Linked DNA regions of Mus musculus. The protein of the gene in region 2 purifies or fractionates together with the protein of the main gene of each other region. This does not show direct contact. Links are inferred from orthologs where the notes say so. Each region holds a gene or a part of one and is shown on either strand. Other genes may lie near its edges.

Region 1 (6,545 bases), on a different chromosome or scaffold from region 2:
AAGGCATCTTGATAACCTGTGGGAACTTCTGAGAGTAGCTTTATTTTGTTGAACTTTGGTCTTAAGAGAACAGAAGGTGACTCTTAAGAGTACATTGACCAGAAAAGCTCCAAGGAGTCAGAAATTCTAGAGTTTTAGCTTTGAAAGGCTGGAAGGATTCCCGATCCTTTGATGTGGTGGGAGGAAAGAAAATCACACTGACACACAAGTGAAATCCTTCCAAGATATGCTTGAGATGGTGTTTATTTTAGGGTCGCTTGTCATTTTGCATGCCGTGCATCATACTTCAGACAAGCCTCAGATGTGTTTTCTTTCTGATTTGAAACAATTAATTTCTCTTTCAGGTATAGAAGCCAAGAAAAATGTGGTGGTAACGCAGGCTGACCAGATGGGCCCTCTCCCCAGCACTTTGATAAAGACTGTGGATTGGTTGCTGGTGTTTTCCTTGTTCTTTTTAATTAGTTTCATTATGTATGCTACCATCCGCACTGAGAGTATTCGGTGGCTGATTCCAGGACAAGAACAGGAACACGCAGAGTAAAGACAGAACTGAACTGGAACAAGAGGGGTCTCAGCCCCTCCTTTGTGGACTTAGCATTACAGTCGCTAAATGTGTGGACTTGCAACGGAAATCAGATTCAAGAATCATGTTCTTGTTGGACTACTGAAAAGCTGAAAAGATTTCATATAAATGTGTTTTTCCTATGACAACTAGCAGGTACAAAAATGTCCACTAGAATTGACTGTTGTTGCTTTTTAATACTTGAACATAATGAATTTCTTTTCTAGTGTCGTCAAACAGGAAAGTGTTGTCTCAGAAGAGGAGCTAAGATGGGAAGTATGGGCTAGGACGGGAAGTGCAGGTCTACTACAGGACCAGGTGAAAAATAAAGTCACTGAAACAATTCAAAGTGGTTTCGCTTGTTTCTGGGAATGGCAGACTTTAGGAGAAACTCCTAATTCTAATTAAAACATGTTAATTCTGTGCTAGAGCACAGACATTGCCCAGTCATATACTAGCACACAGCTAGATTGAGATCCAAAGGAAGTTAAGAACCCTGTCCTTGCCTGGAGGTTGAGTCTGGTCTAGTTTAGGACACAGCAAAGAGATGACATGGGCCGCTGAGATGGCTTAGCAGATAAAGGTGCTTGTCACCAAGTGTGAAGATCTGAGTTCGATCCCTGTGTTCCACACGGTGGGAGGAGAGAACTGGCAAATTGGTAATATTAATGTGCTAATTTAGAAAAACTAACAGGATAGTGCATGGTGACACGTCCAAAATCCCCAGCTTCTGGGAGGTGGAGATGGATGTTCCAGGCCAGCCTCTGCAACTCTACCTGGCTTCATGAAACTGTCTCAGGAAAGGAATACAACAAAGTTACCTAGTAAAAAAACCAAAATGAGGGGGCTGGAGAGATGATTCAGTGGTTAAGAGCACTGACTGCTGAGTTCAAGTCCCAGCAACCACATGGTGGCTGGCTCAAAACCATTTGTCATAAGATCTGACGCCCTCTTCTGGTGTGTCTGAAGATAGCTACAGTGTACTTACATATAATAAATAAATAAATCTTTAAAAAAAAAAAAAAAAACAAACCCAAAACCAAAAAGATACAAATCGAGCTAAAAGCTGCAACATTTTACTCAAAACTCAGCACTAAGTTAAGCCCCGCCCCTACCCCCCCCACCCAGCATGGGTTTTAAAATGAATTTTATTGTCAGTTACATCGCAAGAAAAAAAATGACAAAAGAATAATAAAGATCAATATACACACATAGGACCTGCATGTAAGGGAACAGAGTTGTCTCCACCCGTCCTGGGTGGGTAATGCACTTGTGCATGCAGCATGGTCGAGCTGCAGAGAGGAGCGAGCTCAGCGCGGCGTTCCGGGTCGCGGCAGCCGGGTCTTTAAGCCCTGAGCACAGCAGCGGTGGCCCGGCGCGCAGAGGGCGCTCGGTCTGCAAAGAGTTCCCGCGGGCGCGGCGGCCATCCCCTTCGGGGGCCTTCGGTGCCTGCGCCGCGTCAGGCAGCACGCCGGGCAGCCCGGGACCATGGTGGCGGCAGCGGCGGTGGCTGTAGCGGCGGTGGGAGCGCGTAGCGCGGGGCGGTGGCTGGCGGCGCTGCGCAGCCCGGGCGCGAGCAGGGCGGCCATGGTGAGTGCGGCCCGGGCGAGCCACCGGGCCTTCGTTCCTTCTGCTGCGTGGGGGCGACTGCGCGCGCAGACCCGCAGCTCACACGCCATAGCCCCCGCGCGGGGGAGGACGAGGCTGGGAGACATCCGTGAGTTCGAGACCAGCCAGGGCTCCGTAGTGGACCCTGCCTCAAACAAAACAGAACACCCAGACAGCTTCTGCCGTAGTTTTTGAGCGTGCTCACCGGAAACATTATCGTGGGAAAAAACAAATCCAAATGTGACGTTTAGTTGCGAAGCCATTCTGTGGGCTGCGAGCAGTCCTGGGGTGACCAGGACCTAAGTGACCAGCTAACCGTGTTGTTCTTGGTCAGGGGGCTTTAGAAGAGTTAGTAACCCCTCCACGCCCTTTTCCCGTTTTTGAAGGGCACATCGATTTTTTTTTCCCTCACCACTTTTAAAGAGGACATTTCGTTTTCTTACTCTGTCAGATTTTAGAATTTTGCCTGTGCGTTGCGGCTTGTAATTCTTACATCTGGCGAGGCTGAGGCAGGAGGATTACGGCGCAGCCGGCGAGGAGTGCTGGGAGACCGTCTGAGGTGTACTTTGAGAGTGTGAGGGGTAGAGGGGAGAGAGAGTTAGCCGAGGGTAAGTTTTTTTTAACACGCAGCTCCATCTAGTGGAAAATGCAGCATGAAACTCACCGTTTCCTTTACGGGCGCTCACTAGAGCCTATTTGACAACGTTTTTATGAAGAACTCGTAGACATAATTTATTTTCCTGTAAAATTTCTATAATGAATTTCCCCAAATAAATATTTTTCTTATATTACACAGTAGAATTGTTGAAGTCAGAAAATTATGCTGATAACGTCCATTGTTTTTGACTAATGACTTTAGAGATTTTTTTGTTTCCTGGTGTAATCCAGGACTAGTCATTGCATTTGGTTAACATTTTAAAAATTAATTTAATTAAAATAATTTTCATACAGATGTATTCAGGTACACTAAACTCTGCTCCCTTTCCTACCTGATTCTTTTCTTCCAATAAAAGAAGGAATGACATTTCATTTTGCTTTGTTTTTAATGGATGAGTTTCTTGTAGCTAAGGCCGACCTTGAACTCAGATACATTCCTGCTTCCACCTCCCAAGTCCTGAGAACACAAGCCTGTGCCACCACCCTCGATGTGAAATTGCTTTACTATAAAACATGTAAACTAGCTCAGATTTCTGTACAACTCGATTGCTGCAACCTAGGTGAGTTTTAGGGCCTGCTCCTGCCTAAGGTGCTGGTGACCTTACAAAACCATGGTGCCTGGGAAGGAATGAGTAGACAGATTGATTGGAATGGCTGCTGTGTGTCAGAGTCTGTTTTGGGCACCATCACATTTACGACCTTTCCCCCTCCTTTCAGCTCTTCCTCCCTTCCTCATCCCTGTCTTTCCTTCCACCTAATAATGGGGATGTAGACCAAGCTGGCCTTAAACACAGAAATCCCCCTGCCTCTTTCTCCTGAGAACTGAGACTAAAGCATATACTACTGTGCTTAGTGAAAGATCTCTCTCTCTTTTTTTAAAGATGTATTTATTATTATATATAAGTACACTGTAGCTGTCTTCAGATGAGCCAGAAGAGGGCATCAGGTCTCATTATGGGTGGTTGTGAGCCACCATGTGGTTGCTGGGATTTGAACTCAGGACCTTCAGAAGAGCAGTCAGTGCTCTTACCCGCTGAGCCATCTCACCAGCCCCGTGAAAGATCTCTTTAAGTCTTTCAAAGACCAAATATTTCATCCAAGCATTCAGGAGAAAGAAGCAGGTGGATCTGTGAGTTCGAGGCCAGCCCGGTCTACAGAGAGAGCTCCAGGACAGCCAGGGCTACACAGAGAAACCCTGTCTCGAAAAACAAAATAAAACAAAACAAAATAAAACAAAACAAAAAAACCTAACCCACCAACCAACCAAACCATTTCTTAGCATTTCGATACTGTCCAACCCTGTATAGACTCAAGGAACCTGGAAGCCAGAGAGGCCAAGCTTAGCATGCAACAGTAATAAGTTAGAAAGCCAATCGCTTACACTGTCTACCTCCTGTGGTTCCTTACATCTCCCTCCATGTCTGTGAAAAGCATTCCCAGACTGTTACAAAGGACTGTGCTGGAGGCTGGAAAGATGGCCTAGCAGTCAAGAGCACTGGCTGCTCTTGCAGAGGACCTGGGTTCCATTCCAGTACCAACACGGTGGCTCACAACCATCTGTAACTTCAGTACCAGGGAGTCTGATGTCCTCTTCTGGCCTCTATCAGCAACACAGTGCATATATATGCCCAGGCAAAACACATAAAATAGAAGTAAATAACTCTTTAGAAGATAAAACAGTTAACAAACAAGCAAGCAAAGGGTTCTGTTGAAGGCACGTCTTTGCAGGGCCCTTGGTGTTATGTAGCCGAAGCGGCCCCATTCCAGTCCTTTCCACGATCCCTGTTGTTGGGTGGACATCCTGTATGAGTGAGCCTGCATACTTTGATCTCCATAAGCTTGTGGATAGCCTAGCATCAGAGAAAAACAGTGCCTTCTAGAGCCTCTGGATCACACAGCACAGTCCATTCTACAATCTCTGGATGACCACAGCATAGTCTATTCTAGAACCTTTGGATCACCACAGCACAGTCCATTCTAGAGCCTCTGGATGATCACGGCATAGTCCATTCTAGAGCCTCTGGATGATCACGGCATAGTCTATTCTACAGTCTCTGGATGATCACGGCAGTCTATTCTATGGCCTCTGGATGACCACAGTACGGTCCATTCTACGGCCTCTGAATAACATTGGCATAGCCCATAGTGTGCTTCATGGTTTTCCTTGATGTCAGATCCCTGTGAAAATCTAACAGTTGTTTCTTTCCTGAAATGCTCTGAGTGGCCTTAAGTAGTTAAGTGATAGACAGGTGGGAGTGTTTTCTATAGTCGACCCCTGTGTGGAAAATATCCGAACTCCGTGGGTTTGGTGGTGTTTATCTATGATTCTAGTACTGAGGAGGCTGAGGCAGGGTGAAACCTGGGCTAGTGAGAACTTACCACGGCTACCCAGCCAAAGACACACGCACACACACACACACACACACACACACACACACACACACACACAGAGAGAGAGAGAGAGAGAGAGAGAGAGAGAGAGAGAACTCAGAACTTTTCTTTTTCTTTCTTTCTTTTCTTTTTTTTTTTTTTGAGACAAGATTTCTTTGTGTAGCCCTGGCTGTACTAGAACTTGATATGTAGACCAGGCTGGCCTCAAACTCAGAGAGCCACCTGCCTCTTTCTTCTGAAAGCTGGGATTAAAGGCGTGTGCCACCACGCCTGGCTCTTAATTCTGAACATTAAGTGCTTATTTTGGATTCCAGGCCTTTGAATGTTTTTGCTTACGATCCATTGTCATTCTTCCCTTTGTAGTGGGAGGCAATAGCTGCTGAATCAGGGAGAACAAACTAGAAAACGGGCGTTGGCACAGGACAAGTTTTTGTGCCTTGACGGTTTTAATGTCTGTGATCAGAAGTTTGAGGAGTCCAGAAGCAGAAGTGAGTTGCAGCTTCATATATGGAATCTGGAGCATGCAGCTCTGTCTTCCACCCCCAGGGCCTTCGGCATTAGCTCAGTCTTTTCAGAGAGAGTCTAGATGAGAATGTCTAACTGGGCTGGGCAGTGGTGATGCACACCTTTAATCCCAGCACTCGGGAGGCAGAGGCAGGTAGATTTCTGAGTTCGAGGCCAGCCTGGTCTACAAAGTGAGTTCCAGGACAGCCAGGGCTACACAGAGAAACCCTGTCTCGAAAACCCAAAAAACCAACCAACCTCCCACCCCCTCACTCGCCCCCCCCCAAAAAAAAAAGAATGTCTAACTGGAGCTTGGTAGCTGCCCTGTAAGGAGCTGAGGCTCTTAAGCTGGAATGAGAAGCTGTGTTCACAGTTTATAGTAGTGTGTCTATGGTGTTCAGTGTTTTAAGTTAGCTATGAAAGACACTGGTCAAATGGCCAAAGGTCTGAGTGGTGACTACCAGAAATGAGTGAGGAATGAGGGGACAGTGCAGGCAGGTACCGTGGATGCTCTGGCTGGTCCGGTGACACACAGAGGGAGTTTGTTTTACAGGTGCTTTTAACAGCAAGGCAAAGCCTTTTTGCCTGTGGTAGAGGGGCTGTGGACTCCAGAGGCTCTTACACGAAATTTCATGGATGTATATGCTTGGTCCCCCCCACCTCCCATAGAAGGTTTTCATTATATATGAGAGAGAGTAGATGGGCTGGAGAAATGGCTCAGGGGTTAAGAGCACTGACTGATCTTCCAGAGGTCCTGAGTTCAATTCCCAGCAACCACATGGTGACTCACAACCATCTGTAATGGGGTCTGATGCTCTCTTCT
Region 2 (6,577 bases):
CATGTGTGCATGAATGTGTGTCTGTGTGTGTATGCATGTATATGATTGTCCCTGTGTGTGTGTGCATACATGTGTATATACTTATGCATGCAAGCATGTGTGTGTATGTTTTAGAAACTGTCCAGAGGGAAACCTGAATTCAGTACATCTTTAAGCCCCAGTGAATTTCAAAGGCTGGCATGCGAAAGAATTTCCCATCAAGCCAAGCAGTAAGAATGTCTGGGGGTGCGGTAGTAAACATGCCGAGATAACATGGACCTCGAGAGCACTGTGCAGACATAGATGAAGCCATCACACACATCCAAGTCTGGTCTTACTACTTAAGGATGTCCCTTTGCTTCACTGAGCCTTCCTCTGCTCATTTGTAAAATGGGACCATTCAAATGTGATCCTGCTTAGCTGTGTGCCATGCTCTTGAACCTGTGGCTGAGTGCTGTCTTCACCATTCTGCAGAAGAAACTGGGACTCAGGGACAGTGCCCACCTAACTGGCTGCAAAGCTGGCGTGGGAACCAAGGCAAGCCACTGTCCGCTGAAGCATCCTGCCTGCCACCTGGCTGCTGAGTTCCTGGCTGGGAGAACCCTGAGGCTGCTTGGCTGGGGCTGAGGGCATCAGGAAACAGCACGGTTGGGGTTTAAGCAGTTGGTGGATAGGAAGGTCCTGCAAGGGCATCCAGGATAGGACTCTGGGTCCCAAGTGCTTCCCCAGGGAGGAGTAGGAGGTGTGCGAGGGGAAGTTTAGGCTCTCGCTCACTCATGCCTGGTATGTGGTGACATCACAAACTTTTCCCTCAAGATGTTTTCACACCAGGGGACAAGGAATGAACACAGAGACAGATAAAGTAACGAGACAATTAGTGGTCAGAAGAAAGCAGGCAGAAACAGCAAAGGGGAGCTGGGGTTCAGCCCTCATGCAGAGACAGAAGCCAAGGAGCTAAGAGCCAAGGAGGAAGTGAGAAAGGGGTCCCGCCCGAGCAGAAAGACTAAGGTAGGCAATGCTAGGCGGAAACCAAAGTGTGTGCGCATCCAGAACCGGCAAAGCCAGCATCAGGGCGCAAAAGAGGGGATAAGGAGCGATAGATGGATCGAACTAGGGAAGCTGGGGGGAGGGGAAGTCACAGAACTAGAACTAAGATAGAGAATTTGCCTTTACTCTGTCTACCTGCTGGCATTGGTGCAGGGGGAGAAAAGGGTCTTGCCCAAGGTCACACACTAGATAAAGGATGGAGCTCTGCGAGGAGAGCTGAGGTGTCTGCCGTGGCCTCACACATGATGCAAAAGGGGTGGGGGTGGGATCCGAGACCCCAGACCCACCTCTCCCTCTCCCAAAGGTAGACCTTGGAATCAACAGTTCCCGTGGGGAGTTAGTCCTTCCCACCGCCTCTTCCAGCCTCAACTTCCCCACTAGCCAGGCCCTCATGGGGGTCCTCCAGCCCTCTCCCCAGAGGGTCCCCCCCACCCCCACCCCTGGTCCTGAAACTAGAGGCCCCACTTTTTGTCCCTGGGGACATTTTCAGGTCCCCTTTGTTACCTGAACAATAAGTAACCCGGGTAGTTAGTTATAAACTCCGCAGGAACAAGGAGCTGGTTGATAATTTATAGCAACATCTCGAATTTAAATGGAAAGCAAATAGCTCGCTGTTAGCATTAAAGAAAAGCAACCTGGGAGGGACAGCACTCTAGCCTCCTCCCCGCTCAGCCTCTCTCCCCTGCCCCTTTCTCCCAGCTGCTGAGAGACCCTCTCTTTTCCTGGCTCCTCTGCCCTCCCAACTCCCCCAGCCCTCTTCTCCCATCTCATCCTCCTCACCGCCCCTGTCCCCTCTGCCTCCAGGATTCTGCCTGTTCCCCTGCAGGGAGCACTTTGACCTCTGTTCCAGCTGCTTTGGACCAGGCTCCCCTCCAGCCCCCACTGCCCCCACCGTGAGGGCTGCTGATCAAGAGGTCCCACCTAGCCAGGTAAGAAGACCCTTGGCATCCCTGGCCCCTCAGCCTCATATTAAGCCCCTAGCCCCACCTGGGGCCCCAAGACAGGTCAGGCCCAGCTCCACCCTATCCAGGTTTCTTGTGCCCTGGTTCTGGCAATACTCGGCCCTTTGCCCCTCCCCTGCGGTGAGGCAGCCCTTTGCCCTCCACTTTCTGCCAAGTCAGGGGGCCTGACTGCTCCTCTGCCCCTTGCCCAAGGCCCAGGGAGGCTTCTGGACACTTCCAGAAATGCCGGGATCCACCAGCCCTCCCCCACCCCAAGTCAGAATCAGGACCTTGGACAGAAAAAAGGCTGCCTCTGGAGTATTCTTGTGAGACTGTCCCCAAACTCCTCAGCCAGCCCTCAGGCCCCTCCACGGCGCCTTCCCTGTCTAAGCCTCAGTTTCCCTACTGTAAAGCGTGTTTATTAACCACTTCCTTCTGGGGGGGCGGTTATCTCTATATTATGGGGATTTAGGCACAGCAGAAATCCCTACAGAAAATAGCGTGCCGGGCGATAATCTCAGGGAAACTGTGGAGGCTTGGGGAATTGGGGGTGGTAGTACTCCCCACAGCCCCCAAGCTACCTTTCCCTCACTTTGGTGTTCCTGTTCGTTCTCCACCCCCAAATGGGCATCTCCCCGCCACCGTCCCGACAAGTTAATGATCACAGGCCTTATCAGAGCCTTTTGCTATTTATAAATTTATAAAACAAAAGAAATAATGGCGTGCGTGGGTAATTAGTAACCAGAACGGCTTTGCTGAGGAGAGAGACGGGGGAGGCATTGAAATCGGGACCCACTCAGCACTCCAGGAGATGGGGAGCCAGACAACAGAAGAGGGGGGTCTGGTATGGGGAGGCCTCTAACCCTGCTATCTGACCAGGCTGGGGTCAGGGGCAAGCAGCACCTGGCCATGCAGGGAAACTGCCACCTTCAGCTCCATCTGCCCCAGGTAAGAAACCCAAGCGTACCCTGCCAGATGCTTAAGGCCCTGGCGGATCAGGAAATCCCCTAAAAGCCCAACATCAGCCCGGCCTCCTCAGGGGCTTTTGGGGCCCCAAACCTGGATCTGACCCCCCCCCCAGCCAAGAAGGTGGAATTTGTGGGAGCACAAACGACCACACTGGGGAAGGATTTCTACCACCCACTAGTTCTCCAACCATTTTCTTGGGGCTGGCTTTCCTTTGTCCTCTGTTTCAAAGTGACCTCAGGCCTGTCCCTGTTTCCTAAAGGCCGGACTGCAAACAGGTGGCCCACGGATACGGGGTATGTAGGGCCAAACAGAGGGGTAGGTTCGGCAAGAAGCCCTTAACCACCAGCCTGAAGACCACAGCTCCTAAGGCCCCCTAGACGGGAAGTGAAGCTTGCCAGGAGCATAGAATGGGGCGCTATGAGTTCCTTCCTGGGTGCTGGGGACAGGTTGGGGTCCTTACTGAAGAAGTGACTCCACCACGGCTTTCTGGTGGGCTGCCTCCTCTGGGCTGAGGTTCTCCAGCTCTTTCAGAATGGGTGGCGCGAAGTCTTCCCCATCGTCATCCGTGTCATCTTCAGAGCCACGCGTTTCTCCAAGGCCATTAGGCAACTCGGTCAGGTCCCCTCGACTCCCACCGCAGGACTCCCCCTTGTCCAGGGGACCCTCTCCAACCATCAGGTAGGGCCCTGGCTCCCCCAAGGCCTGGATCAGGGCCTCTTTGCTCAGGCCAGACTCGAGCAGGGCAGCCAGGAGCTCCGTCTGCAGCTGGCTCAGCTTAGAAACCATGGCTCCGCTGCCACCAGGCCACGCGGCCCAAGGCCACTGAGCTAGCCGCCTCCCCCACCCACGGCCGGTGTCTACCTGCCGGCAGGCTGGCAGTCAACGGACCGGGCTCGCTGCACCCACTGCCCCCCCAAATCCCACTAGTCAAGCTCTGTGGGCACCCCCAGCCCCCAACCCTGGCCCCAGCGGCCAGTGAATCAGGGCCCCTGCCTGCTCTGTTTACATTGGAGCTGGGGAAATTCTCCAAGGTTCATATTTATCCGTGCGCTTAGCGAAGGGACTGAACTTTGGACTTCAGCCTTGCAAGTGCAGGCCTCATGGCGGGTGAGAGGGACCGGGACCGGGAGTCATGGCCTGCAATTGGGAGTGAGCAGAAGGGAGGGTGGGGGAGGTGGAGAGGGGCCAGGGGCGCAGGGCTAGAGGCAGCAGGAGCCAGGAGGCCTCTGGGTGCGGCGCTGGGTCCCACTCTCCAGGATGCTTTCAGCCTGGCACAGGAGAACTTTAAAAGCCTGTTTCTTTGGGCCGCTGGGACAGCAGGAAGCTCTGGGCCACTGGGCCGGTTCTCCAGGGCAGAATCAGGTCACATTTCCTGGAGTGGGTCACTGCACCCTCAGTCCTAGCCCAACATCAGACTTCCCAGGGGGGGAAAAACCCCTGTTGTCTTAGCACTTCAGACTTCTGTGTTGAGGATACTGGGTTATAATGTATTGCATCCTATCATTGTGTGATCCGAACCAGAACGTGTGTGTGTGTGTGTGTCCTGTGTGTGTGTGTCTGTGTGTGTGTGTGTGTCTGTGTGTATCTGTGTATCTAATCTATATGTGTGTGTATAACTAATCTATGTTTGTGTATGTCTCTGTGTCTTGTATGTGTCTGTGTATCTAATTTTATGTGTGTGTATATCTAATCTATGTGTGTGTGTATGTGTGTGTATCTCTCTGTGTCTGTGCACGCACACATATGTATTGGGGTTTTTTGTTTGTTTGTTTGTTTGTTTGTTTGAGACAGTCTTACGATGTAGTTCAGGCTGACCTTGAACTCCTGATTTTCCTACCTCTAGCTCCCAAGTGCTGGAATTACAGACCCGTACCACAGCCAGTTTTTAGTCTTGCTGGGGTCAAACCCAGGGCCTTGTATACTCAAGGCAAGGGCTCTACCAAGAGCCAGAACCCCAGCCCCAAATACACCATTTTAATTTTTCTCAAGTATTACTTTTGTCAGTATTACCTAATGAAAGCATTTATATATTTTTTAAATCTTTTTGTGTGTGTGTGTGTGTTCCCGAGAGTGTGTGTATGTGTGACAGCTTGGGTGTGGAGGTCGGGGAACAACTGCAGGAATCAGCTATCTCTCTCTTCCACTCTGTGGAACCCAGGCAGTCTGACTTGTCACCTGCCCAGCCCTCTTGCCTTTTGAAATGCAGCAGCTGTTAGCAGCCATAAGCATATCCCAGCATGCAGCGCACCAATCGATCAATTTAAAACACTTTCATCATCCTAAAGAAACTGTTCTCCTGAGCAGCCCATTCCTATGCAGGTCTCTAGCCCCGCCTCTGGCAGTCATGGAGGCCGGAAGTTCACTCCATCCAGAGCGCAGATCTCATTTTATCCCCTCGATAGTGAATGGTGGGTGGGGAACTTTTGCAAGGAGACCAGGCACTTTCCGGTGCATCCATAGACAGCTAATTACCTATGTTCCGCCCACGTTTTAGCTGCAGTGAGCAAGGCTTCTAGAAACATCCACATGCACTTTTTTATGTGAATATGTGCTTTCGATCCTCATTCATGTAAGAAATACGTCACCAGGCGGTGATGGCGCACACCTTTAATCCCAGCACTTGGGAGGCAGAGGCAGGCAGATTTCTGAGTTTGAGGCCAGCCTGGTCTACAGAGTGAGTTCCAGGACAGCCAGGGCTATACCCTGTCTTGAAAAGCAAAACAAAAGAGAAACAAAAACAAAAACAAATAAACAAAATACCAAAAGAAATATATCACATGGACAAGGAGTTCTGGGCCAGCCTGAGCTACATATTATAAATTAATTGCTCATTAAAAACACTGGCCAGGCGTGGTGGCACACGCCTTTAATCCCAGCACTCCGGATGCAGAGGCAGGCAGATTTCTGAGTTGGAGGCCAGCCTGGTCTACAAAGTGAGTTCTAGGACAGCCAGGTCTATACAGAGAAACCCTGTCTTGGAAAACCAAAAAAATTAAAAACAAAACAAAACAAAACAAAAAAAAACCACTGTAAGTAAAGTGTCACATTTCCATTAGGAACAGGTCCATCCTTCCCTCATCCTGGCGGGGCCCCAGGGAGCTTGGCCCTTATCTTCCCCCATGTCCTTTACCTGGTGGAGAGAGCTGCCCCTAATCTCGGCAGTTTCCAGAATCTTCAAGGTTCTTTGGAGCCAGGGTCAAGTTTTGCAGTGGGGGGGAGGCAAAGGAGGAGACCACAACCTCCAGGCCAGCAGCGGGCAAGAATGCAGTGAGAGAGCCAAGCATGTGACAGGCGACCACGCCCCCTTCCCCCACAAGTCCCTTTCCATGTAAGGTGCTCGTTCTCAGCAAAGGCCATATGTGGCTACCAACAATCGTGCCACCAACCACATGTGGCTATCAAGAAATTTTGAAATGTCTTGTGTGAAAGGGTGTTATTTTTGACAAACGGTGTTAAATTTTAAGATAGAAATAAGATGAAACGTTAAAGGGGCTAGAGACATAGCTCACTAGTAGAGCACGTCCCTGGCACACATAAATTCTGTCCCCAGCACACACATTTAAAAAAATAACGAAGTCAGGGCTGGAGAGATGGCTTAGCAGTTAAGAGCACTGGCTGCTCTATCAGAGGACCGACCCAGG

The links.
Region 1: the proteins of Hnf1a (region 2) and Pcbd2 purify together in Homo sapiens (affinity purification with mass spectrometry; 4 studies listed by BioGRID and IntAct, with this or other methods). This does not show direct contact. The link is inferred for Mus musculus from reciprocal best matches to the Homo sapiens genes HNF1A and PCBD2.

Annotation. Positions count from the first base shown.
Region 1 is NC_000079.6:55,725,323-55,731,867, forward strand, and holds the start of Pcbd2 (pterin-4-alpha-carbinolamine dehydratase 2), read left to right. Parts: upstream 1-2,045; 5' UTR 2,046-2,050; coding exon 2,051-2,152; intron 2,153-6,545. Other genes in the region: Txndc15 (thioredoxin domain-containing protein 15 precursor), read left to right, coding at 345-541.
Region 2 is NC_000071.6:114,967,123-114,973,699, forward strand, and holds the start of Hnf1a (hepatocyte nuclear factor 1-alpha), read right to left. Parts: upstream 3,941-6,577; 5' UTR 3,723-3,940; coding exon 3,397-3,722; intron 2,916-3,396; exon of another isoform or gene 1,621-2,915; intron 1-1,620. UniProt on the Homo sapiens protein: Transcriptional activator that regulates the tissue specific expression of multiple genes, especially in pancreatic islet cells and in liver. Binds to the inverted palindrome 5'-GTTAATNATTAAC-3'.